Drosophila melanogaster: one gene and its partners. The protein of the gene in region 1 interacts with the protein of each later gene in a pairwise test. Each region holds a gene or a part of one and is shown in the gene's direction. Other genes may lie near its edges.

Region 1 (5,889 bases):
ATTTCCGGATGCAGATTAAAGCGGGCCACGAAGCGAAAGATCTTTAAAAGTATTAAATTTGTAGTAAAAGTGATTAAACGTTTAATATTTCTCGGTCTCACCTGAGGATATATGAGGAACAGGTCGGCAAAGTTCTCTCTTATGTATGTCTTACTCGACGTTAGGGTAACGCCCATGCGCACCAAGTAGCAGCGGGCATAGCTCGATACCAAAGGATCAGCTATACCCCTCAGTTGATGGGTCAAACGTTGCAAAATGCGCTCATACTCCTCGCGCGATGATGACAGGAACTCGTAGCACTTGAATATTGACAGCTCCAAGTAAAAACGCGGCAGTAACTCACGAATCGAGGCGATCTTATAAAACCAATTCTGGCACGTATCCCGGGCAGCTTCCCGTTCCCGCTCTAATGTGGCCGCCGATGCGGCAGGATCTCCAGAGGCCTTAGCACGCAGTCGTTCGTATACCAATTTTCCAAAAACATCCAGTATATCAGTGATAAGAACGTACTGACTCGGATAGAATTGCAGCACAGTGGTGTCCGCTAGCATTTTGGCACACTGTATGGCTATCTTCAACGCTTTTACTCGCTGATCGTTGTGCCAGGACTGGATCAGCTCCTGCTTGAGTTGCTCAAACCGCTGAATGTACTCCTGCTGAGTAAGATCCATCATGTGACGCATGCTGCCATCGTCGAAGTGGTCTAACTGCTCCAAGCGAAACTTTGTCTTGTCGGCCACCACCGTTTGTGCTTTAACTATGATTGTTGTTAATATATATCACAGATCAACCGACCACTGAACTTACTGCTTTCGTTGCCGCCATCCAGGCTACCAGATGACACCAGAAAGCTGGTAGACAGCGATAGCTTCTCATTGGTTGTAAAGCGGTTGAGGATGCCTAGTCGTCGGCTGCTCCACTGCAGTGTGTTGTCCTCGGGCTCCGTTCGGTCCCGTTCACGACGCTTCGACTTGAGATCCTGAACATCCAAGTGCGAAAAACTTAGTCATGTTCCTTGCCGGTGCACCACTCTACTTACGAATTCGCTGACCATTTGACTGAGCGGATCGTTGAGCTCATCATCTTGGCGTGCAAACTGCGAGAGCGGATCTGTGCCCTCTAGAGCTCGGCTCAAGGGATTGCTGTCCACCACCTGGTGGAGATTGTTCTTTCATTAAAATCACTTACAGATAAGGGCGTTGTACCATTTACCCACCGTCACCGTCCGCTGCTTTAGGGGATGCTCCAGCGTGGCCTGCCCAGTCAGGCAATTCTTCCGGACCTCGTAGCATCGCGGCACGCACACCCTGCAGTCAGGAGAAATGGTTATCAATGCTTATTTGTTTATTTTCGGGGGAAAATAAATAAATTACCATTCCAAGTTCGCCATAGCGTCGTGGTTGTTGTTGTCGGCATTCCTGACAGCTGCTTGCCAACATGACATGGACGTAGCCGGTCAGGGATGAAATACACCAAAGAAACTGTACTAATTCCAGGGACTTTAGCTTAGAACCTGTTCTACTGTATATATTTCGTTTCGCTTGCAGCTCTATAGAAATTAATTTATAAAAAAGATTTAATTTAAAGATTTAAATAAAAGATTTTATTTATAATTTTATAAATTTAAAATTATAAAACAAATTAATTCAAATTTATATGTGATATTATTGGAGTATAATAAATATGCAAATCCGTTAAATATCAAAGCAATATATAATACTAACGTTAACAAAGTAATTCATTTTCGAGGATATATATATATTTTGGCATCATATGAACCCCTTTGCCTACGCCACTGAAAATATGTTTATTTCGGGGCGAATGGCAAATATTAACACGAAACACCGGGTGAATGGCAAATGCAGTTGACAAGCGACGCGTTTATTTTTTGTGTTCACAAATATCTTAAAAACGATTTCATTTCGGATTGCGAATGAAAAATGTCGAAATCGGCGCTGAAACACCTAAAGAGCACCTGCCGCGTATGCGCAAAGTATGCAAGCAACAAGCGGTCGCCGAAGTTATTCGAGCGGAGCAACACAAAGATGATCGACAACATTGAGGCGCTCACAGGCCTTCGGGTAAATTTTTCACTGCGGCTTTATGGAATTTATGTAGTTATAGCTTAATTTATTGGTGTTTAATCTAGCTGGAGAACTACGGTTGCCTGCCGGATCAGATATGTGAATGCTGCAGCATGGAACTGGCCTCCGCCGTTAAGCTGAGGGAGCGCTGCATCGCCGCCCAGCGTGAGCTACTCTTGGGATTGACCGAGGAGCAACGCCAAGGCATCTCGGCCTTCTACCGGGCGGCTGTCATGGGCGAGGATATTGTCCAGACGGTGAAGACGCCCGACGATGATGAGGTCTATGCCACTTATCAGGAAATCGTATTGGAAGAACCTAAGGAAGAGATCGACGACACCAAGGTAGAGTACGATAATACCTACTACGAGGTGGCCGAGGGACACGCCGGCGAGGACGACGCAGCCTCCTTGATTGAAGAGGCCGACTATGATTCCATAATGGCCGAAGACGAAGAGCAGCAGCAAACGTTGGAGCTGGACGAAGACACCGAGCTAATTGTGGGCGACGTCAACGACGCGTACGTCTACGATTCGGATGATGAGGTGGCCGTTCTTGACAACGTGCTGGATGATGAGTACGAGCATGAAAACATTGTCGTCAAGAAGTGTAGTCTGCCGCCAAAGCCAAAGGTCCGGTCGGATGATGCGCGTCGTCGTGGCACCGGCGGAGTATACATCTGCGAGCAGTGCGGCAATCACATCAAGGGACGCATGGCCTTTGAACTTCACTGTCGTCGCCATCGTGGGGACAAGCAATTTGGCTGCGAGTGAGTACATTTCTACTCCTTTTTGGATACAGTATGACTAAATGGATTTATTTTCAGACTCTGTCAGTCGCGCTTCTGCACAACTTCCGAGCTGAAACGCCACATGCGCAAGCACACCGGAGAGCGACCGTTTGCATGTAAGTACTGTGGCCGCTGCTTCACAGACTACACCACGCGCGTGAAGCATGAGCGTACCCACACCAATGAGCGCCCCTACGTCTGTGGTACTTGCGGCAAGGCCTTCACTACCGGCTACATCCTTAAGAACCATATGCTGATACATTCCGGCGAGCGGGCCTACAGGTACGTTGAGTCATACAGCTACACAGTACCGGGAAACCCAATAACTAGGTTTCTTAGAAATTCTAAGATCATATTATGCGGCATTACAAGAGTTTTCCAAAACCTTATGAGAGTTAAGATAACTAAATATTACTTATGTTGCCAAATTTCGTGAGTAATATTTAGTTATCTTATAATAATTTCTTATAATAATATGAAACTAGTGATACTGGTACAGTTACTGAAATGTTTGAAATGCCATCTAATACTGAATCTTCCCCTCAAGGTGCGAGCTGTGCGACAAGTCCTTTATGCTGCCCACCCACCTGAGCACCCACTTCCGGTCTGGCGTACACAAGCGGCATCTGGAGAAAGCCGAGATGAAACAGGTCCTGGAGCAGGAGCAGAAACGTGAACTCAAGGAGGAGGAGGAGGACAGCCTGCACATCTAAAGCTGTCCTTATAATATATACATAGCAATTACAGGCAATGCTAGACCGACAATGGCGCACAGCCAAGGAGCATTTCTGCAAATAATTAACAAACCAATTGTAATATGTAGAACTTAATATTGAATAATAAATCAAAACTTCAAATCCCAACTTATGAGCATTTATTTCATCTGTAAAAATTGCTTCCATGCGAATGGCAAACGGAACAGCTGATTGACAAGCATAGCATTGTTTACAAAAAGTTTGGCGTTTCAAACTTTTTTATCGGCTCAAAAATGGAAGGAAAAGTGTGTCGCACTTGCGGCAAGCGCACGAATGCTGAAAGATCATTGAATATTTTTGAAAAGCGCAATCAAACTACGCTGGAACACATCAAACTACTAACTGGAGCTGTGGTGAGAGGATAATAATGCGTAGTGTCTTTAACTTTCTAAAGTTTTTTCTCTTTACAGTTAAAGAACTGTAGTACGTTGCCAAATCGACTATGTGCGTCCTGCCAAACTTGTTTGCAACAAGCCATATCCTTTAGGGAACGCTGTTTGGAAGTCCAAAGGGAGTTGCTCCATTCCCAAGATGATGAAGACTTCCTTAGAATCTGCCAGGAATCTCCCAAAAGTGTCCTTGAGCAGGAGGAGTTGGAACTGGATCTGGCAGAAATAAGCATAGAAGTCGAGCGATTAGACGATCTCAATGAAGGGCCCATTCAAAGCTCCGGTTTTAAAGTGGAGGACATTCTAAATGAATCTAAAATCAACGAAGACGAGCCCAATAATGAGGACGATATTGATTATAGTGAAATGGATTACCTTATTTACGAAAGCGATACTGAAGTAGATGCAAAGCAGGAACTCAAATCAGACTCTGAGAATCCCAAAAAAAGGAGAAATCGTCGAAATCCCCGCGACTCCAATAGGACCTTCTTTTGTGAGGAGTGCGGAAATCACATAAAAGATCGAATATCATTCATACTGCATTGTAAGCGACATCGCGGCGTCAAGGAGTTTGGGTGCGAGTAAGTGGCAATTCTACTTAAGATTGATCCTAACTAATCCGCTTCATTTAAGATTCTGTGAGGATCGCTTCTGCACGCCGGCGGAACTTAAGCGTCACATTCGCAAGCATACCGGGGAAAAGCCCTTCAAGTGCAGACACTGTTCCCGCAGCTTTTCTGACTACAGCACTCGGTTGAAGCACGAGCGGACTCACACTAACGAACGACCTTTTGTCTGCAAGGAGTGTAACAATGCCTTCACAACATCCTATATTCTTAAGAACCACATGCTCGTGCATACCGGGGAGAAGGCTTTTAGGTAAGCGGGTACTCGAAATAGTACTTAAGTGTAATAATAATAATCTATTCTATTTGCAGGTGCGACCTCTGCGATAAGTTATTCAGTCGCTACACACACCTTACTACCCATTATCGTTCAAATGCTCACAGACGAAACATGCAGAAAGCAGACACAATCTTTGATAAACCCTAAAAGGTATCACTTAAGAAGCTCTTAGTTGAAAACGGTTGCATTACCAAAATAGGAATTTTTACAAAAAAAATCAAAACGGATAATCAAATTGTGAACTATATTTGGCTTTAAAGGTTGAGATGGACTCATTAAGGTCTAGTTTGTACTATACATTAGAGTGGATGTTTCCAGAGCAGCCAGGCCCAAAGACTCATCCTGCTCCTGCTCCGCGGGCAAAGGCACTTCTATCGTAAAGGCATCCGCCTCTGCTTCTGGCTCCTTTTCCGTCACGAATTTGACCTGATCCGCTGACTGGGATGGTGACAGCTGAACTCCACCCGCGTCTGCCATCGATTTCTCCAAGTTGTGCTTATGAGTGTTAGAGCGGAAGTGAGTCTTCAAGTGGGTGGGTCGCGCAAAGGATCGATGGCACAGCTCACATCTGCAAAGGATCGGCTAGGTGATCATTAACTTAAGCACTATTTATCATAGTTTACTAGCCTGAACAGGCGCTCGCCCGTGTGGATAAGCATGTGGTTCTTGAGGATGTAGGAATTGGTAAAGCTCTTGCCGCACTGCGCACAAATAAAGGGTCGATCATTTGTGTGGGTCCGCTCGTGACGCAGGCGACCACTGTAGTTGACGTAGGTGCGGTCACAGTAACGACACTGGAACTTGCGATCTCCAGTGTGCATCACTTGGTGTCCTTTCAGCTCACCGGAGGACAGGAAGCGGGCGGGGCAGAGTCTACATGAGAGCAATGTTACACAGTTAACTATCAGATTGTACAATTGACGAGCTAAAGCTTTTCTTACTCGCACTGAAAGGGCCTAATTCCG
Region 2 (5,751 bases), on another chromosome or scaffold:
TTAATTTTTCTGTGCACTGGAGCAAGTTTCTTAGGCCAGCTCAACACCCCTCGCTCCCTCTCTCCGCCCAGAAACTTTTCGCATTGCGTGCTGGCCGGAGGAGGCGTGGAGGTGCCGCAGGTGGAGCTGTGGACGGGCAGGGCTTTGCCATTTGGTTCTGCCACCAAAGGTGGCTCCTTCGTCCTGTCAACGCGCTAACTTTTTCGCCGAATTTTCCTCTTGAAACTTCAAGCTAAATTGATGTTGGGGTCAGACAGCAAGGGTGCAAGGGAAAATTGAGCAGTACCAAAAGCGCAGAATGGAGGTAAATCTGTCTATATTTACTTGAAGAAATCTATGTGTAATCTATTAATATACAACCGAAAAATAACCAAAATATGATTTCCAAAAGGGCACTCTTATTTGTTGATCGAAACAAGACCTTCTAAGAACTAATTAAGACTTACTTAGCACTGATTACAAATACTATCTGCCCACTTAATTGATCCGATCCCATGCCACATTTAGCTGTGAACTGAAAAAGTTGCAATATATCGAAGTATTCAGAGCTCCTCCACCCCTGGATGCGGTTATCTACTGAGTCGGAGGAACCACAAGTCCCTGCTGGCGGGCATTATTTTTACCTCTTTCAACTACTCGACGCGCGTACGACCAATGATACGTGGTTGGTGTCCGTACCTGATCCGCAAGGTGGTCACGTAATGCTCCGCAGTTGGCGAGCACTTGGCAAAGTTAACGGGCCAAAGTTGGAGCTCAGAAGTTTGCTCCTTTGGGGAATGCACTCGCTGCAGTAAAAGCAGAGTGCATGCACCTCCTCGGATGGGGCACACTTAATTAGAATATCGGGCATTAATCTTATGGCTAATGCCACGATGAGATCGAGCGATATCGGTGGACAGGCGCAAAATTGCTGTTGGCCGCATGCACCGCTGCGCCAAACCCCCCAACCACTTTCCTTTGGGCTCACAGGGCTATGTGCCGTGCATAGCCGTACAAAATTATTTGATTCTATTTTTTCAATTTGATTTCAATGAAATCCACACGACAGCGTCAACATTTATAAGATGTATAAACGCAAGTGCTTTGGCTGCATTTTTGAGTGTGACAACATTCGGGCCACACCATCTATGGACTGAGTGGGGGCCCAGAAGAGCATTGGCACCAATTTCTCTTACTCGAGCAGGGAAAAGCTGCCTACAAGACCAAGATAAAGAACTTGGGGGAAAGGCTGGCCACTACATTGCATTGTTCACGGGTTGTTCTTGTTGCTGCGCCGCCGTTTTGCGGGGGTTTATTTATATAAAAACTTAAAAATATATCTACAGATGCCTATACAAGTCCTGGCGCATATTTCGATATGTTCTCTCCTCTGTTCTTTGTCGAAGTCATAGCAAAGTTGGCAGCCAGACATAATTTAGCGAAAACGAAATGAAACTAAGTGATAAATGGTATTTGGGAATGGAGCAAATTGAATACTCTGAACGAACGCAAAATCCCGATAATGCTCTGACTAATACGACTTAGGGCCTGATGGAAATAAATTATTCTATCAAAAAACGGAGAGCCTATTGTCAGAGCTTAAATCGAAGCTCGTTAGATAAATCCATTTGTTAGCTTTGGCTTAACACATTCTGTCATTTGATGCTTAAATTAAAAGTAATTGGAATACCCAATTTTGCTATTTGTCAAAAAAATATATCTATTGTGTATATTTGGGACTATTGCCATTCTAAAACAATATATAAAATAAATATAAATATTTATATTATGTATGTATATTTATGACTATTGCCATTCTAAAACAATATATAAATATCAAAACTATCTAGCCTAAGCCCAGCGTTCCAATAAATTATTTATTTTCCCAAATTTCACAAGCTTATAAGTGTGTGCGGATTAAAATTCTAACAATATAACAAGACTTACAACTTACAAAACAACTTATTTTATATTGAAATCTAGTACCAATTTAGTTGCTCTAAGTTGTGGCTTAACTAGGGTTCTTTAATTCGTAATCCAACTTGTTGCCGTAGGCGTAATACCCGAAATCAGAACACTTTTGTGAAATCGAAATGATGTGCATCCGACCACCCTCCCCGGAAACGCCTGATCCCCAGCCAGCGTTGCATATCGCGGAATTCATCAACATGTTACTAGATGAACAATTGTTCGAGATGACAGGGACATGGGCGTGGGGCCGGCGGGGCGGGACAGAACTTATTTAAATGCAGCTGCCGGAGCGCATAACGAATCACTCTGATCGCTGTCGCTGTTGGATTTACACGTCGTGAGTGTAGTCTTGTCCGCCCATCCGAAATCCGTAACCCGCATAAGGGATAACCGATCTGTCTGTATCCTTGTAGTGCCGCCCGCACCAAACTAACCAAACATGTGTGACGAAGAAGCATCAGCCCTGGTCGTAGACAACGGCTCCGGCATGTGCAAGGCCGGATTCGCCGGAGACGACGCGCCCCGCGCCGTATTCCCCTCGATCGTAGGCCGTCCCCGTCACCAGGGCGTGATGGTGGGTATGGGTCAGAAGGACTGCTACGTGGGCGACGAGGCGCAGAGCAAGCGCGGTATCCTGTCGCTGAAGTACCCCATCGAACACGGCATTATCACCAACTGGGATGACATGGAGAAGGTCTGGCACCACACCTTCTACAACGAGCTGCGTGTGGCCCCCGAGGAGCACCCCGTTCTGCTGACCGAGGCTCCCTTGAACCCCAAGGCCAACCGCGAGAAGATGACCCAGATCATGTTCGAGACGTTCAACTCCCCGGCCATGTACGTGGCCATCCAGGCCGTGCTCTCCCTGTACGCCTCCGGCCGTACCACCGGTATCGTCCTGGACTCCGGTGACGGTGTCTCCCACACCGTGCCCATCTATGAGGGCTATGCCCTGCCCCACGCCATCCTTCGTCTAGATCTGGCCGGTCGCGATCTAACCGACTACCTGATGAAGATCCTCACCGAGCGCGGCTACAGCTTCACCACCACCGCCGAGCGCGAGATTGTGCGCGACATCAAGGAGAAGCTGTGCTACGTCGCCCTGGACTTCGAGCAGGAGATGGCCACTGCCGCCGCCTCCACCTCCCTGGAGAAGTCTTACGAGCTGCCCGATGGCCAGGTAATCACCATCGGCAACGAGCGCTTCCGCACCCCGGAGGCCCTCTTCCAGCCATCGTTCCTGGGCATGGAGTCCTGCGGCATCCACGAGACCGTCTACCAGTCCATCATGAAGTGCGACGTGGACATCCGCAAGGATCTGTATGCCAACAATGTGCTGTCTGGCGGCACTACCATGTATCCAGGTGCGTAGTCTTAATTAATTAGGACCATAAAGTTCAGAGGAAATTCTTCCGAGGGAATGGGATCAAAACTATGCGGGATACTTAAAAAAAAAAACAAGTGTTACTTTATACATTCATTTGGCAGAGAGGAAATCTTTAAATAATAAAGCCTAAATATTTAGCTGAGCTTTGTAATAACAGTTAAAAAAAATCTTATGGAAAGTAGTATTACAAAAAAAAAAAAAAGAATTCACCTAATGGGTTATATCCTTTCCCTATATCTCATATTCATGCATGCTATTATTAAAATGTCATGTAATGAGTACACCAAAGCTCCTCGGTTCTGTAGCACCACTAATGGATTCTATTTCTGTCCTCTTCAGGTATCGCTGACCGTATGCAAAAGGAAATCACCGCACTTGCCCCGTCCACCATCAAGATCAAGATCATCGCCCCGCCAGAGCGCAAGTACTCCGTCTGGATCGGTGGCTCCATCCTGGCTTCGTTGTCCACCTTCCAGCAGATGTGGATCTCCAAGCAGGAGTATGACGAGTCCGGTCCCGGCATCGTCCACCGCAAGTGCTTCTAAGCATCCAAGCCACCCAAACCAGATCAACATCTCCTCGAGCGCGGCCCTGGTGTTTGTCTCCAGCGTAAGACATCCGACCAGGCGCCGGCGCCAAGGGTGAGGACGCAGTTCAGTGAAAAGTATCTTTAAATTACATTTAGTTGATGAAGAAGTTTTAACATAGATAGAGAAAACAAGAGAAAGAGACGAGAAAAGACCGGAAACGAGCGGCAACGCCTTCTTTTTTTATTATTATTGCTATTTTTATTTGATTTGACTCGGAATTTGTACTGCTTGACTCGCTTGCCAGCGCGTAAAGTGGCCAAAACAATCGGTTGTACGTACAATAAAAACCAATAACCCATGTGAATCGAACCCAAGTCGAACGTCACAGGAGCAGCAGGAATGCGTGGTGGGGAAACTTTTTTAATTAGGCCTCGACGAATGTCAATCAGGCACTTGCCGGCCAACTTTTATTCTCTAACAGCTGCCATGGCAATCCCCCAGTACGGGTATCTGTATCTGTATCTGTATCTGTATCTGTATCTGTGCATCTATCCCCCCGCATGCTCTTCTGTCACATTTTCACAAACCCAGATGGATTTTCCACACGAAGAGAGGTTGCGAGGAATGACTTCTGGAGGACTGAAGTCGGAAATACAAGGAGCAGCGACAGTCTTAACTGGAGCCCAACTGCTCACAGAACTTTTCGCCAACATAAATGTTTGTGCTCAACTTTTGGCTGCAAACTTTTGAGGTTTCGCCAAACTATGCATAAACCAGGTGCCGAAAACTGTTGCTTAATTAGTTAGGGCCAAGCTTGCTGGAGTCGCCAAAGAAAAGAGTCTAACTGGGTTTATTGGTCTAATGTCTGCTGCTAAGTCGTCAGTAACACGGAAACTCTTCTAATGACTAGGGAGCACGTGCATTCTTGATGTTTTTGGGCACCCAAAATCTTGCCCCAAAACCTTGCCAATTATGATTTTAGAGATGCAGTCCTGGGGATTCTGGCACGTGTAGATATCAATTGAACTTTTGTTCCATGGTCCTTGCACCAACGCCACTGCTCAGCGGTCCATGGGTCATTGGATCCAAGTGCGGTTCATTATCCGCCGTCCAGCCAGGGAGAGCGGAAACAGAGAAATTAGTGCGGCACGTTGGCGTACAACTAAATGTTTGGCGGACTGGCTGGTCCGAAATGATAGTAAAGGCCTGGCTGGAAATCGCTACTCAATCAATCAGTGGTCGCAGCAGGTCAACAAATTTGGCCATAAAGCCCTAAAACTGAGGGGTTAATAGCTAATGGGTCGATTTGGCCCACACTCAGAGAAGTCACTAGAATGCACATTTATGATTCCTGGCTAAATTTTTATATATTTCTGTGGTTAAGTTAACTTATGTGAGAAAGAACAATTCTTTAACCAATATCACAGTTAACATTAATAATAACATTTTTGCAGATAATTTTAGTAAAAGTGGAAATAGAGTGGAGCTAAAATTTTTTCTTCTTTTAGTGCAGAATACCAGGCGGCCGAAAAGTGGGCCAAAATCCGTTCTCTGGTTTCGTATTGTTATGCTTGCAGCACTTGTCTGTACATCAAATTGAATTTAATTACAGCCCGGCCAGGGTTTTCGTGCTCCCCCGGAGTCATCCACATTCTCGGAGTAATGCTGCGTCGATTGTTTGTTTGTATGTCGGTTTCAGTTTGCGGAAATGGTTTTGCATTTTGCATTTGCTGCCATTGCAACTGCAACTGCAACACCGAGCTGCAAGTTCTGTGCAAGTTCTGTTTATTTTATGCTAATTTAATACACTCGCCCTATCAGCCGGCCCATTGATACCATTATAATTTGGTGTTAATTCCGAAGGCAAATACTTCAATGTATTTG
Region 3 (7,293 bases), on another chromosome or scaffold:
CAAAGCGACGGGAGCAGAAACGGCACTCAAAGTCCTTGACTTTTTCGTGGACGCTCTTGTAGTGGCGCTTCATGTTGCCTATGCTCTTGAATCCCTGACTGCAGCTGGGACACAAGTACATACCCTCCTTTTGCACAAACTGAATCTCGTCTGTGGGATTCACTGCGGTCCCTGCCAATAGGGCCACATCAACTTGCTCTACGCGGCGGGGATTCTTAGGAATGCTGGCTACGGATTCGGCGTAAACCTTCAGCAGCTGATGTGAGTCCACTTGAGTGTCACTGGCATCGCCATTTACTTGCACCTGTTTATAAGTTTCCAGAGCCCTTTCCACGCTCTTCTCATGAATCTTCAGATGATTGTTGAGACTCTCCGAATGCAGGAACTTTTTGTCACAAACCTGCAAGGCGAAAATATATCAGACTTTGGTAACAAGGGTATAATGGTAATTCCCTTACCTTGCATTCGCAGCGCTTCTCACCAGTGTGCGCCATCTCGTGTATTTTGCAGGCGTATGCTTTCCCGAACGTCTTTCCACAGTACTGGCAAGCAAAATTCCGGATTTTCTCATGTACGATCTTAACATGGCTCTCTAGCACCCGCTTCGTGTGGGTGGCATAGTCGCAGATGCGGCACTTAAACTGGTTCCGTTGGGTGTGGATCAGAATGTGCTTACTCCATTCCTGGCGGGTGGTCTTTCGCACTCCGCAGTACTGACACACGTAGTTCTTGATGCCAGCATGCCGGAGAAGATGATTCTTTAGGGCACTATTGATGTAAAAGCCCTTGCCGCAAATGGTACACGGATAGGGAAGCTCTTCGCCCGTGTGCGTGTACATGTGCTTCTTCATAGCCACCGGGCAACGAAACACCACGCCGCATTCCTTGCAAGACTGTTCACCCCGCGGAGCAATAACCCTCGCCTGGTTGTGAACCTTTTTCAAGTGAATGGTCAGCAGCCGGAGACGGGAAAAAACCAATTGACAGCCCTCCACGGTGCAGGGAACCGTATCCTCCTTCTTGGAGTGCGCATAGTCCACGTGCAAACGCAGTGCACCGGCTGTGGTGAAGCCCTTTCGGCAGCTTTCCTCCTGACACTGAAACGGCAACAGGTCATTGTGGTGCTTCATGTGCTCCTCGAACTTTGATTGCTTTTTGAACTTTTGCTGGCAGATGGAACAGCTCATAAGGCGAAACAGTTTACGCTTGTCGTTCGCAATCCGTCGCTGCCCCATGGCCTGCTCATCGTCGCTGTTGAACCCTTCCGACTCCTTTTTCTCCTCCTCCAGTCCGTTGTGCTCTGCACTGGAGAAGTGCTCCTCGCTTTGGTCCCTTGAATGCTCCTCTAGTTCCTTGTCAACTTTTTCCAGCAACTTGAACACATCCTCCTCGTTGTCAATCATCTCTAGTTTGTTATTCAGCAGCGGATCGAAACTGGCCGGCTCCTCTGGCCTTTCAGGTGCCTCAGAATCATCAGCTATAGATTCGAATACACCCATGGGCATATTCCTCTGGCTGGTCATCATTTCCTTTAGACGTTTAATAGATTCTGCGCACAGTTCGCGGAAGTCATGCAGGTCGTTCAGCTTGGTGAAACATTGGGTGCACAGGTTTCTCGGGAAACCGTCGTTTTGATCCGCATCAAACGAAGTGCACGCCCTGAGCTTCTGGAACAGATCTGGAACCACGAAGAGATCGTGTCCAGCACCATGCTTCAGGTGGACAAGGCAGGTGAGACAAAGCGATTGGACGGAGTACTTGAGCTCCATAGTGCCCATTTCCCTCAATTCTCGGGCAGATAACAATCGAAGCTTCTAAACAAATTTGTTCCAGTGTGACAGGCAGTCTGACCGTTTCGCTATGCCATTAACCCATTACGGTGTAGTGGGGTGGCAAGTAAACAGCATACTTGGATTCTTATTTTTATATTAACTTGTTTTAATGTAAGTGCTTTTTAGCAAGACCATGCATGCGTCTAGTTAAAATACATTTATTTATTATTTATTTTTGACTTTATTTCGATACAGAAATCTTGTACGTTCATTTTCGTATCAAATTTTCTTGATGCCCAGTTTGTATATTTTCAAATGTCGTTGCTTATTATTAAAAGCAATTTGTTTTACATGTTTATATATACATACTAATACAAAAAAATTTGTTTTATATTTTTTCTATATATACATACCATTATCTATATATTGTAAGTTCAGTTTCGTTTTTGTTACTATGGTGCTCAGTTTGCAAAATATTTTTAAAAAACCCTGAAATACTATTTGAAGTATACAAGCAATATCTATTTAATTAAATTAGTTGTATATATATATATTTTTTTTTTTTGTATATTGCAACCTAATTAGAATTGCAAATAAGAAGGTAAGAAAAAACATTGATTGTCCAGCCCTGAAACGCAAAACAACTACGCACTCGGACGAGTAACTCGCTGGCAGAAGTACTTGCTTATTGCCCACTCGCCCGATTGCCAGTCGACGAGTATACAATTTTTTCTGTGTCAATATTATTTTATTGCTTACTGACCGGAGAGAGACGCAAAAAGCTATAGAAAACCGCCCCGATCCGCAGTGCCGATTGCGATTGAAAGCAAGATGAACGAGGGCAGGCAGTACTCGATCCACAGCCTGTGCAGGATCTGTCTGAACCACCTGCAGAACGACGCCGCCTACGATTTGTATCTGGTTCCAGGACTTTCGAAGAAGCTATGCTTCTGCACATCCCTGTCCGTGGAGCAAAACGACGGATTCCCGAAGAACCTGTGCACCCTGTGCTACACCAAGCTGAACGAGCTGCACGACTTTCAGAAACAGTGCGTCGATTCCGTGCAAAAGTTCCAGGATCTGGTGGCCAGCAATGTCTTTGCCTGCCAGAGCAGCTTCGACGTCTTCGATCCCAACGTTGCCGTGCAGGACTACCCGGCCGAGGAAGAGGACCACGTCAACTATGACCCGCTGCTGAACCACAAGATGGAGCTAATCGAGAACGAGGAGGATGTCTTCAAGATGCTGGAGCACGTCGACAAGGAGGCCGAGGAGGTGGAGAAGGAGGCCAAGGTGGAGGAGGATGACGGGGGCAACGTTTCCGTCAAGATGTTCGACGACGATTCGTCCATCGAGAGCGGCAATGACAACGACCACGATCTGGACTTCGAGCCAAATAGCAGCGATGATGACATTCCGCTGGCCCAGCGCATGAGGGGACCAGCTACCGGATCAGGACCCCAGCAGGACCGTTTTAGCAACCTAGACAAACCCAAGCCGAGGCCCCGGGGACGGCCCAAAAAGATAAAACCGCCTCCGCCAGAGGAGGAGGAGTTGAGCGACTCATCCTCCGAATCAGATGACTCCGAAGACGGCACATCGCGGGGCGACAAGCCGAAGAGGAAGCGCATTCCCATCGAGGAACGCCACCTGCACCGCATCATCGACTGCCACATTTGCCACCAGAAGTTCAAGAAGGCCATCCGCTACGAGGAGCACATGAAGTACCACAACGACCTGCTGCCCTTCCAATGCAAGGTGGAGACCTGCAAGAAAGGTATAACGCTGGCTTAAGTATAAATATAAGTATCCGATCTCTATGAAATCCCACCTTACAGGTTTCACTACCGCCAATGGGCTGCGCATTCACATCGACCACGCCCACACAGAGCTGTCCGAGGTTCACGCCTGCATCGCCGAGGGCTGCGGCAAGACCTTCCCGCGCGTCCGTCTGCTCACCTTCCACATGAAGAAGGTGCACGGTATCACCAAGGCGGCTGCCCCGCTTCGAGATTTCCCCTGCACAGAATGCGACACCGTATTCCGCTGCCCCACAGCACTCAAGAAGCACATGTATAAGCACACGGGCGAGGAGCTTCCGTATCCTTGCAATATCTGCGGCAAGCGTTTTGTAATCAATAGTGCTTTAAGGGATCACCTTATGCGTCACGCAGGCATCAAGAACCATGTGTGTCCGTACTGCGGGGTGGGCAAGACGACGCGCCAGGAATGGAACGCCCACATCCTCACGCACACCAAGGAGAAAAAGTTCAAGTGCCGACAGTGCGACCATGCCTCGCACAACAAACAGGCGTTGTCCAATCATGTAAAGGTGGTGCACGAAAAGCGCAAGGACTTTGCCTGCCAGTACTGCGGAAAGACCTTCGGCAAGTCGCACGCCTGCAAGGTGCACGAGAGGAGTCACACGGGGGAGAAGTGCTGCGAGTGCAAGATCTGCGGCAAGATATTCCTCTGCGAGAAGAGCCTCACCAAGCATTTGAAGACGCACGAGAAAAGGGATCTGCCGCCGGCGGAGCCCCTTCGCCAGCAGCTTAACATTCCCATGCCCGGCCAAATGTCCGTACCGATGCCGGGCCAGATGCCGATGCAGATGCAGACGGATGGTTTGGTGCCAATGGACCCCAACCAGATGCCTAGTGAGGACATGCTGAAGGCATGCGGCGGCGGGACCGCTGCAGTGCCTCCCAAACCGAAGAACTCGCGACGCGTCCAGCGGGTGGACATTTCTCAGCTGGCGGGTACTGCGGTAAATCCAATACCATCCGTATCCGTGCCCTCGTGGTCGCCGCAAGTGAACTTCACCAAGAAGGAAGGCCAGCACATCTGTCCAGGCTGTGGGCGTGGCTTCAATAATATTGGAAACATGAAACTTCACTACAAAATCATCCACGAGAAGGTCAAGGACTTTGCCTGTCGCTTCTGCCCGAAGAGATTCTCCAAGGCACAGATTCTGCGGCATCACGAATGGATCCACACGGGCGAGAAGCCCTTCGAGTGCAAGATTTGTGGCAAACACTTCCGCCAGGAGACGGCACTCAAGAAACACATCAAGACGCACGAGAAGCCGAACCGGAGACACGTGCCCGAGCGCAGTGCGCCCACTCAGATCACGTTCCGCAAGCTGGAGCCAGACGCCGAGCCGCGTAACTTTGACCAGTATCAGGATCCGGCGGTGGAGCGGGCAGCGGCCACCGCTGAGCTGCTGGCGCACCAGCTGGAGGAGAACGAGGCCAAGCGGAAGGCGGAAATTGAGCGGCAGAAGATCGCGGCGGCGGCCTGCGAGCAGCTGACGAAGCTGCAGCAGCAGCAGGAGATCATCAAGGCGACCACCTCGTACGATGGCTACTATGCGCAGAAAGCGCAATCCGAGGGCACCAGCCTGGATGCCCTGAAGATCGACCACGTCTAGGCAGCAGGATTGGCTTTACTTTACTAGCATATATGCATCATAACCTAGCCACATCCATATGTATCCACTTCCAATGCAGCTGACACTGTCCGGAAAAGTTGTAGGCATGCCTCGAATTGCTCTCTAGCTGGATCAGATTGTAGGTTTATAGGCACTCCAGATTATTCGAGTGCATATTACAATATGAACACTTCATACTTTTTACGTACTACGTTTATACATACATGCAATATATGTATTATTTTGTTTTCCGTGTAATATCTCCCGTGCTTACTTAGAGTAATGGATTAAAAGTAATATTCATAACGCCATTGGAGTTTCCATCTGGTGGGCGGGACTAAGAGACCACTTTGCAATACCAGTGATTTTTACAAATATATTTTAATAACAAAAAACAAATTTTTTAGCCCGCAAGAACATTAATCAAACCTTAATTTAATTAAAATAAGTCATTTTTAGCTGAAATCCATCTGGATGGTTATGCTGAATTTTATTTCATATATTCCGTTCTTTAAATTTAGACAAATAAAGATGATAATTGATTTTTAATCGAATATTAAGAAACATTTTGCTGAACGAAATGATGTGAAAGGGGGATTTTACTGGAAAAGTTTCTATTCTGCATCCACGTCGAAATCTTCGGATGACCCTTCATTGTCTGAAGGATTATTTGACTCCTAAAACAAATTGGTTAATCTTATGTAATACATCTTTAAAACTTAGTTGATGACTTAACTGTCCAGTTATTACCATCCGTCTGATTCAAATCCATCAAACTTGAGATAATTATCTTAGCTGCCTTCCTGTTTTTGTTGGCCTTCTTCAATGCTATACTCTGCTTCTCCAGGACCTCCTCCAACTCTGCGATCTCCAGTTTAAGCCTATTTCTTCTATTCCCGGCATGTTGCAGTGCCAGTTCAGTGTCCAATACCTTAACTTCAGCTTCGAGAGCTTTTACGGAATCCTTGTCTGGTTGTTGCTCCATTTTTTTTTGTATACTCTTACTCAGCATGACAAATAATAATAAAGCTGCTATAGAAACAATTGATACAACCATATTTATAGACATACCAACGATTTAAGGTATTTTGAAAATCCTTAAAAAATTTATATTTGTTTAAAAATGTATTTAATATTTAAACTAAGACATATGTATTTTTTATTTTAAATTCTCAGACTCTTTGTATTGTATTGATCTAGTGCTAGTATTGTGCTCGTAGCTGTCCGGCAGTCTCACTCGACTGTGTGACTTGACTACGAATACACACACTCGCTGGGTCTAATACGCCCATCGTACCCTCTCCGCTGCGCACATGCATGTGAATGGGAAAAACAAAACAAAACGCCTGAGTGTGGGTGGCGAGTGCTAGAGCTGCGCAGTTTTTCAGCGAGCGTACTCGTCGCTTGCGGGTAATCGATAACCCGAATTGCTGACGAGTGCACACACACACGCACACGCGAGTACACACAAATGTGTGTTGTATTGGATTTTTTTCTCGGCGAAAGAACATTTCGAATTGCTGTGGTTTTCGCGATTTCTGGCTTTCGGGATCGTCCAGCATCGAATTGAGTGTCCAAAATGAATGAGGAGAGCCAGTACTCCATACACACGGTGTGCCGCACCTGCCTGTCCACGGTGGACGACTCGGCGGCCTACGATCTGTTCCGAGTGCCCGGTCTGGCCAAAAAGCTGTGCGTGTGCACCTCCTTGTCCGTGGAGCAGGCGGATGGCTTTCCCAAGAACCTGTGCAATGTCTGCTTCTCCAAGCTGAACGACCTGCACGACTTTCAGAAGCAGTGCGTCGATTCCGTTCAAAAGTTCCAAGATCTGGTGGCCAGCAACGCGTTCGCCTGCCAAACAAACTTCGATGTTCTGGACACCAGTGCCGCTGTGGCGGATCTGCCGGGCGAGGAAGAGGACAACGTGCACTTCGATCCGCTGCTCAACTCCAAGATCGAGATCATTGAGAACGAGGAGGACGTCTTCAAGATGCTCGAGTCCGTCGAAAAGGAGGTCGAAGAGGTGGAGATGGAGATGGAACAGCCGTTTGGCCGAGTATCTCAGGATGACTCCTTCGAGAGCGGCAACGA
Region 4 (5,221 bases), on another chromosome or scaffold:
CAGCTGCCCTCCGGCTTCAGGCTCTTCACGTCCGTATTCTCGCCTTTTTCCCGAAAGCGCAGTTTGTTGGTATCCCACACCATCATCTCGCCGTCGAGTATGATAGACTCCAGACCCAGCGGCAGAAGTCCCCTCAGCTTTGGCGTTAAGGTGCCGTGATCGTAGCTGTGACCAAAGTTTCTGGTGTAGTCCACTCCATTGCGGGAAATGTACATGAAACGACCCCGATCGATGTGCAGCTGAAAGCGTTCGCCATCCATTTTGGTCTCCAGATAGAGCACATCCGACTGCATCAGCTCCTGGATGTCACCGGGGAATCGTTCGCACAGCATGGGACGTATCTGGTGGAATGGCCGTATGACGGAATTCAGGTTTACAAACTTGACCGCCGCCTTGCTGTCCTTGCTGCTGCTGGCGTCTAGGTCGGTGGTTCGGTCTGCCAGCAGATTGCACACATGTCCCAGATCGGAGCAGCGCTGGTAGATATCCTGCGCCTTGGGGTGCAGCACACCGAAAATCTTTTGCTCACCGATCCCCAGCCCGAGGCTCTTAAGCAGCAACCGAATTAGCCACTTCTGTTCCTCAGGCGAGGCCTGCTCCGTAAACCGGATGAGTTGCTGCTGCTTAACTGCAAAGAGCGGTCTCATTAAGACGTTCAGTCGTTCAGATCAGTTTAAAAGCGCCCACCTTCTGTGTCCTCGTTGGCAATGGTGTCCAGCATCTGATGGATTTCTTTCAGTCTCAAATTGCTGGGCGGATTAAAGCACCTTGGCTTAAGCACGGAATAAACAACATCACCGTAGTCCCGGTACATGTTTCCGTTGCGGTGCTGCAGCCTGATGGCATCGCTGGCTAGTAGAGACAACAAAGAGATTCTAAATAAGCCTAAATGCCATTGCCAATACGTTTCTGCACTCACAGTCCGTGGGTAGCTGGAGCACCCTGATGTAGAGCCTGCCCAGCGCGGTGATCTGCAATCCATAGGTATCCCGACCAGTGTCCGCACCCGGAAGCAGCAGTCGCAGCACGGAATAGAAGCTACTGGCACCGTCCTCCGGCTGGTCGTTGTTTAATCCGGTTTGCCGGCGAAAGGATTCGCGGTGGCGACAGAAGGACTCGTAGTAGCTCTTGAGGACCTCCTCCTTGTTAGCCACCTTTTGCGTGGCCTTAATCTTCTCGAACAGGCTGCAAATATCCCGGAACTTGATCGTGCTGGCTATATCTACGCTCATTTTGTTGTTTAAAAACAATATACTGTTGTAAACAATTTCATCACTGTGAACATCTGTTCAAGCAATGTGACCGCGCTTCTCAATCAAAGTTAATACCCATTTTAGACTAGTTGCAATATTAAGATGCGGACGTTAGTGGCAGAGATTATTTAATTTTTAAGCTCTTCTATTTGGCATAAAATAGATAAAATAGTTTATAGGAACAAGTTAAAATTAGCAGACTATATAAAATACCAAAATTAATCGATAGACTTCTATCAATAACCAAAAAGGCGGCAAATCGTTTGTTTTGGTTCGGTCCACAGTTATTGACTTTTGCTTCACGCTTGGCAAGTTATTCGAGAAAATGGGCAAAAAGGAAACGCGAGCGAGAAAACCAAAAGCTGATCCGGATGCGGAGGGATCTGCCAAGATGTGCAAGGCCTCGGCACTGAAGAAGGTGTTCTTCATGTCGGAGGAACTGCTGCCCAAAGATGCGGACGACGGACACCTTCGGCTGGAGATGTTTTTCCATCCCGGACATGGCAAGGAGGCACTGTTCATAACCCATCCCGATGGCAGAATGATGGAGCTGGTGGCGTTCACGGAACCCCGACGCAGTTGGTTCGTGGACAGCGAGGTCTGCTCCAACGGCAGAATCTACATGACCGCGCCCGTGGATCCCACGTTCCTGGCTCTTCATCACCTCCGAAAACATTGTGCGCAAAGTAAGATATTATCATTCGCTTTCGATGGTATACTATACTATTGTATTCTTGAAAATCTTTAACCACAATCAGGAGCAATATCGCTGGACAACATTGCCGTGGAGGAGGCCAGCACCAGTCGTCTGCTTAACGAGATCCTCGACCCAGGGAACCTTAAATGCGTGGCAGATGTGAAGAGCTCTGGCGAACAGAAGTTCTACAAGTACAACCAAGAGCGCACATTGGCTTGGTTGGCTCTGAAGACGCGCCAGGTGGCGAAGATCCTGAAGGAGAAGCAAGTCCACTGCGGCCACAGTGCGCAGTCGCAGAATTTCGTGCGAAGCGAGAAACTGGTAGCTGAGAACGTTAGCAACGAAATGGACTACACGCGCATGGCTTGCGATTATGTGGGACGGTATTTGGATGCGGATCTGCACGGCTTGCTCACCAGTTACCTGCACATTCCTAGCGAGATTCAGGCGATTGTTGAGGAGAAAGCAGCTTCTCAGAAGCGCAAGTCGGTGGCGGGCAAGAACGAGGGCAGCGACTCCAAGAAGATCAAGCTAAATGAGAGCGATGCTGCTGCCAAGCTAAAGTCCAGCGGTCTAGTGGACAGCGATGGCGATCCCAATGCCACCATCACATCGCCCACAGCGGCGCCTCTGAAGGAGCGCTCGCTGACCGCCAAGGAGAAGGCCCTGGCCAAAGGAGCCAAGGGCACTAAAAGCATCGCATCGTTTTTCAAAGCGAAGTAGATTAACGTTTCACAGATCTTAAGAATAGGTTTTAACTCCTTATTTTATATATATACTCTATTTAATACAAATGTACACTTTTTTTTACAATGAATATAGTACTTTAAAGAATTACTTTTGTTATTTTAAGATTTGTATTCATAAATTTGGTATTTTGAAAGTGCGCCTTTTTGGCGCATGCGCTGTTTGATCATCTCTCTTGATTCCGTTTGGTAAATCCCCATCAGCTGTTGGCGTTGCCAGGCTTCTAAGGAATTGGTTTACTTAGAGGCTTCAGTGCCAAATGTTGCGAATAAAGAGTTTCTTAGTCGACATATTTTTTTAGGTATACCATATAAGCATATTAAGTAATGCTAATTAAACATATGAAATCAGAGTATACTAATAAAACTAACTAGAAACGAAATTAATTTTTGGGGATTCATGCAACACATATGATTTCAATCCTTAGTTCATTGCGCGGGGTGGCAATCCTGGCCGTCAGTTACAAAGCTGCTGGCTCCTTTGTTTCCGTTTTTGTCGCTCAGTTGTTGCTGTGCGCGCTCCCACGTTCGAGGCTAACGGTGAATTCCGCTTTGCGCCTTGATTCGCATTTCGCCACCCCCGTTACCCATTCGCCCGCAACCGAATATCCTGCTACTCCTGCTCTTGTTGTTGTTGTTGTTTTCTATATGCCTTGAATTTTCGGAACAACAATTACAGGGGTTACATTAGTGAATTTTCCCGTTAGCCGTGTGTCCCAAAGCCAGTGCTCAAGTTTAAATTGTGAAAGGCAGAGAAAGGAAAAGAGTGGCGTCACACGAAAGAAAATTTTCTTTGGCGTCGTCGAGGTGTTTGTGCCTTAGTGTGTGTGTATGTGTGTGTGCGAATGTGTTGTGGTTGGTGTGGCATAAGATAAATAATACAATGCAGCACTCAGTTAGCAACAAATTCTCTCTTCTCTGCAGCAGCAGCAACAACAACGGCAGCAACACCAACAATCGCAACGCAACGCACAAAAGCATGCTACGGTAAATTGCATTTGGCGTCTGTCAAGGACAAAACAAAGCGCTGTTTGTGTGAGTCCGACCACAACAACAATAGCAACAACAGCATGTGGTACAAATAACGGAACTGCAAAGTATCAACAGCAAAAGAAGCAAGTAGAAAGCCAGATAGGAAAGCAAAACAAAAGACAGGAACAAATCGCACACGAGGGCCAAAACGGACACAAAACGGAGGCTGCGACAAGAAGAAAGCGAAGAATCGAAGAAAATAAGGGAGAGGCACACACTCCCCGCACCTCCTCCCCTCACCAGCCCCGTAGGACATTTGGCGCCAGTCCGAGCAGCAACTGCGACAGCGGCGTCGACTGAGGCAGCGTCAGCGGCTGAGAAAGATGTGGCTCCGTCCCTCTCCCTCGCACACAAACGCGCTGCAGTGTCTCCTGCTCTCCTTGTTCCTCCTTTTGGGGCTGCTGCCAGCGAACGTAAGTGCCCTTCATTTCATCAATGTTGCAAGCACTCAAACTAGCATAATAACCGAAAAACAACGAAATGTTATGCTGTAGTTAATTTTTAAGCGCATTTTACACATGTAAATTGTCAAGGTGATAAAAATCGCTTGTGAATTCATTTAAAACAAGACACTATACGTTTCACTGCATGCTTTTGGGAACCTTTGTATGTGCGAGCAATTTAAACTTTGGTTTTCAACACTGTAATATTTTGATTAAATACAATTATTGTGCGCTTGTTGCAATTTGGGCCCACGAAACGCCTTAAAAAAAGATAACAGCTAATCTTTGTAAAAAGTTTTTTAAATAAACGCAAGCGCATCCATGTTGCATGCACATTTGAATTTTAAATTGATTGCGATTGCTTTCCCAACGGTAATAAATGCATAGCACACAAACATAAATATGAGCACAAGAACAAGGGCGCAGTACAGTGGTCGCTCGCTATACAAAAACACCACAAAAATAACAAGCTGTTGTTTATATTCTTTATTTATTGGCAATGACAATTTCAAAGGTGTATCGACAAAAAGTGGAATACATTATTTTTTATCATAAAAAATGTGCAAATATTTCTCATGATTAAACGAATAATATATGCAATGTCTTGTTCCATTTTCCCAGGTGTCTGCCAGATTTTGCGAGGGCTGCACTCAGGGCTGTTGCACCCAGGGCTGCTGTCCGCCGTACCAGGGCGGGCCACGCCCCCTTCCGCCCTCCTCGGACTCGCATGTTCTCAATCTGTTCTTCGCCACCCACTGGTTTTTCTGGTGAGTAGTGTTGACCCGGAGAAACTCCTCCTTTTGGAAACTTCTCTGTCTATCTAACTTATCTATTCGAAATTGTAAAATAATAGGAATCTTTCGGAGACAGTGATTCTTTTAATTGCGCAAAGTAGAAGTGATTTATTTAGCTACTGCGATGGTCACGGTCATCATGAATTGCACTGTTTTTGTTTTTGTGTTTGGGGATTCCCCGGAGGTCGTCTGCAAGGCCGTTCAATGAGGCGGGTTTTTGGGGCGTTGGAATGGTGGGATGGATTGGATGGCGTGG

What was found.
Region 2: the proteins of M1BP (region 1) and Act79B interact in a two-hybrid assay, tested with the Drosophila melanogaster proteins (one large-scale study listed by BioGRID).
Region 3: the proteins of M1BP (region 1) and D19A interact in a two-hybrid assay, tested with the Drosophila melanogaster proteins (one large-scale study listed by BioGRID).
Region 4: the proteins of M1BP (region 1) and CG11164 interact in a two-hybrid assay, tested with the Drosophila melanogaster proteins (one large-scale study listed by BioGRID).

Annotation. Positions count from the first base shown.
Region 1 is NT_033777.3:8,727,634-8,733,522, reverse strand, and holds M1BP (motif 1 binding protein), read left to right. Parts: upstream 1-1,824; 5' UTR 1,825-1,940; coding exon 1,941-2,081; intron 2,082-2,149; coding exon 2,150-2,853; intron 2,854-2,910; coding exon 2,911-3,156; intron 3,157-3,421; coding exon 3,422-3,587; 3' UTR 3,588-3,733; downstream 3,734-5,889. Other genes in the region: CG8202 (uncharacterized protein), read right to left, coding at 1-41, 102-757, 808-979, 1,040-1,153, 1,217-1,307, 1,374-1,390; ranshi, read left to right, coding at 3,863-3,982, 4,040-4,599, 4,652-4,897, 4,957-5,071; CG8159 (uncharacterized protein), read right to left, coding at 5,207-5,492, 5,552-5,797, 5,866-5,889.
Region 2 is NT_037436.4:21,982,962-21,988,712, forward strand, and holds Act79B (actin 79B), read left to right. Parts: upstream 1-2,248; 5' UTR 2,249-2,287; exon of another isoform or gene 2,288-2,363; 5' UTR 2,364-2,389; coding exon 2,390-3,314; intron 3,315-3,676; coding exon 3,677-3,882; 3' UTR 3,883-4,229; downstream 4,230-5,751. UniProt on the Drosophila melanogaster protein: Actins are highly conserved proteins that are involved in various types of cell motility and are ubiquitously expressed in all eukaryotic cells.
Region 3 is NT_037436.4:6,184,290-6,191,582, reverse strand, and holds D19A (D19A), read left to right. Parts: upstream 1-2,459; 5' UTR 2,460-2,603; coding exon 2,604-3,549; intron 3,550-3,610; coding exon 3,611-5,202; 3' UTR 5,203-5,753; downstream 5,754-7,293. Other genes in the region: CG7386 (uncharacterized protein), read right to left, coding at 1-400, 459-1,769; CG43293 (uncharacterized protein), read right to left, coding at 5,817-5,879, 5,939-6,187; D19B, read left to right, coding at 6,782-7,293.
Region 4 is NC_004354.4:13,666,509-13,671,729, forward strand, and holds CG11164 (uncharacterized protein), read left to right. Parts: upstream 1-1,505; 5' UTR 1,506-1,578; coding exon 1,579-1,939; intron 1,940-2,011; coding exon 2,012-2,673; 3' UTR 2,674-3,065; downstream 3,066-5,221. Other genes in the region: DNAlig4 (DNA ligase 4), read right to left, coding at 1-628, 688-852, 920-1,232; CG15760 (uncharacterized protein), read left to right, coding at 4,052-4,141, 4,793-4,938.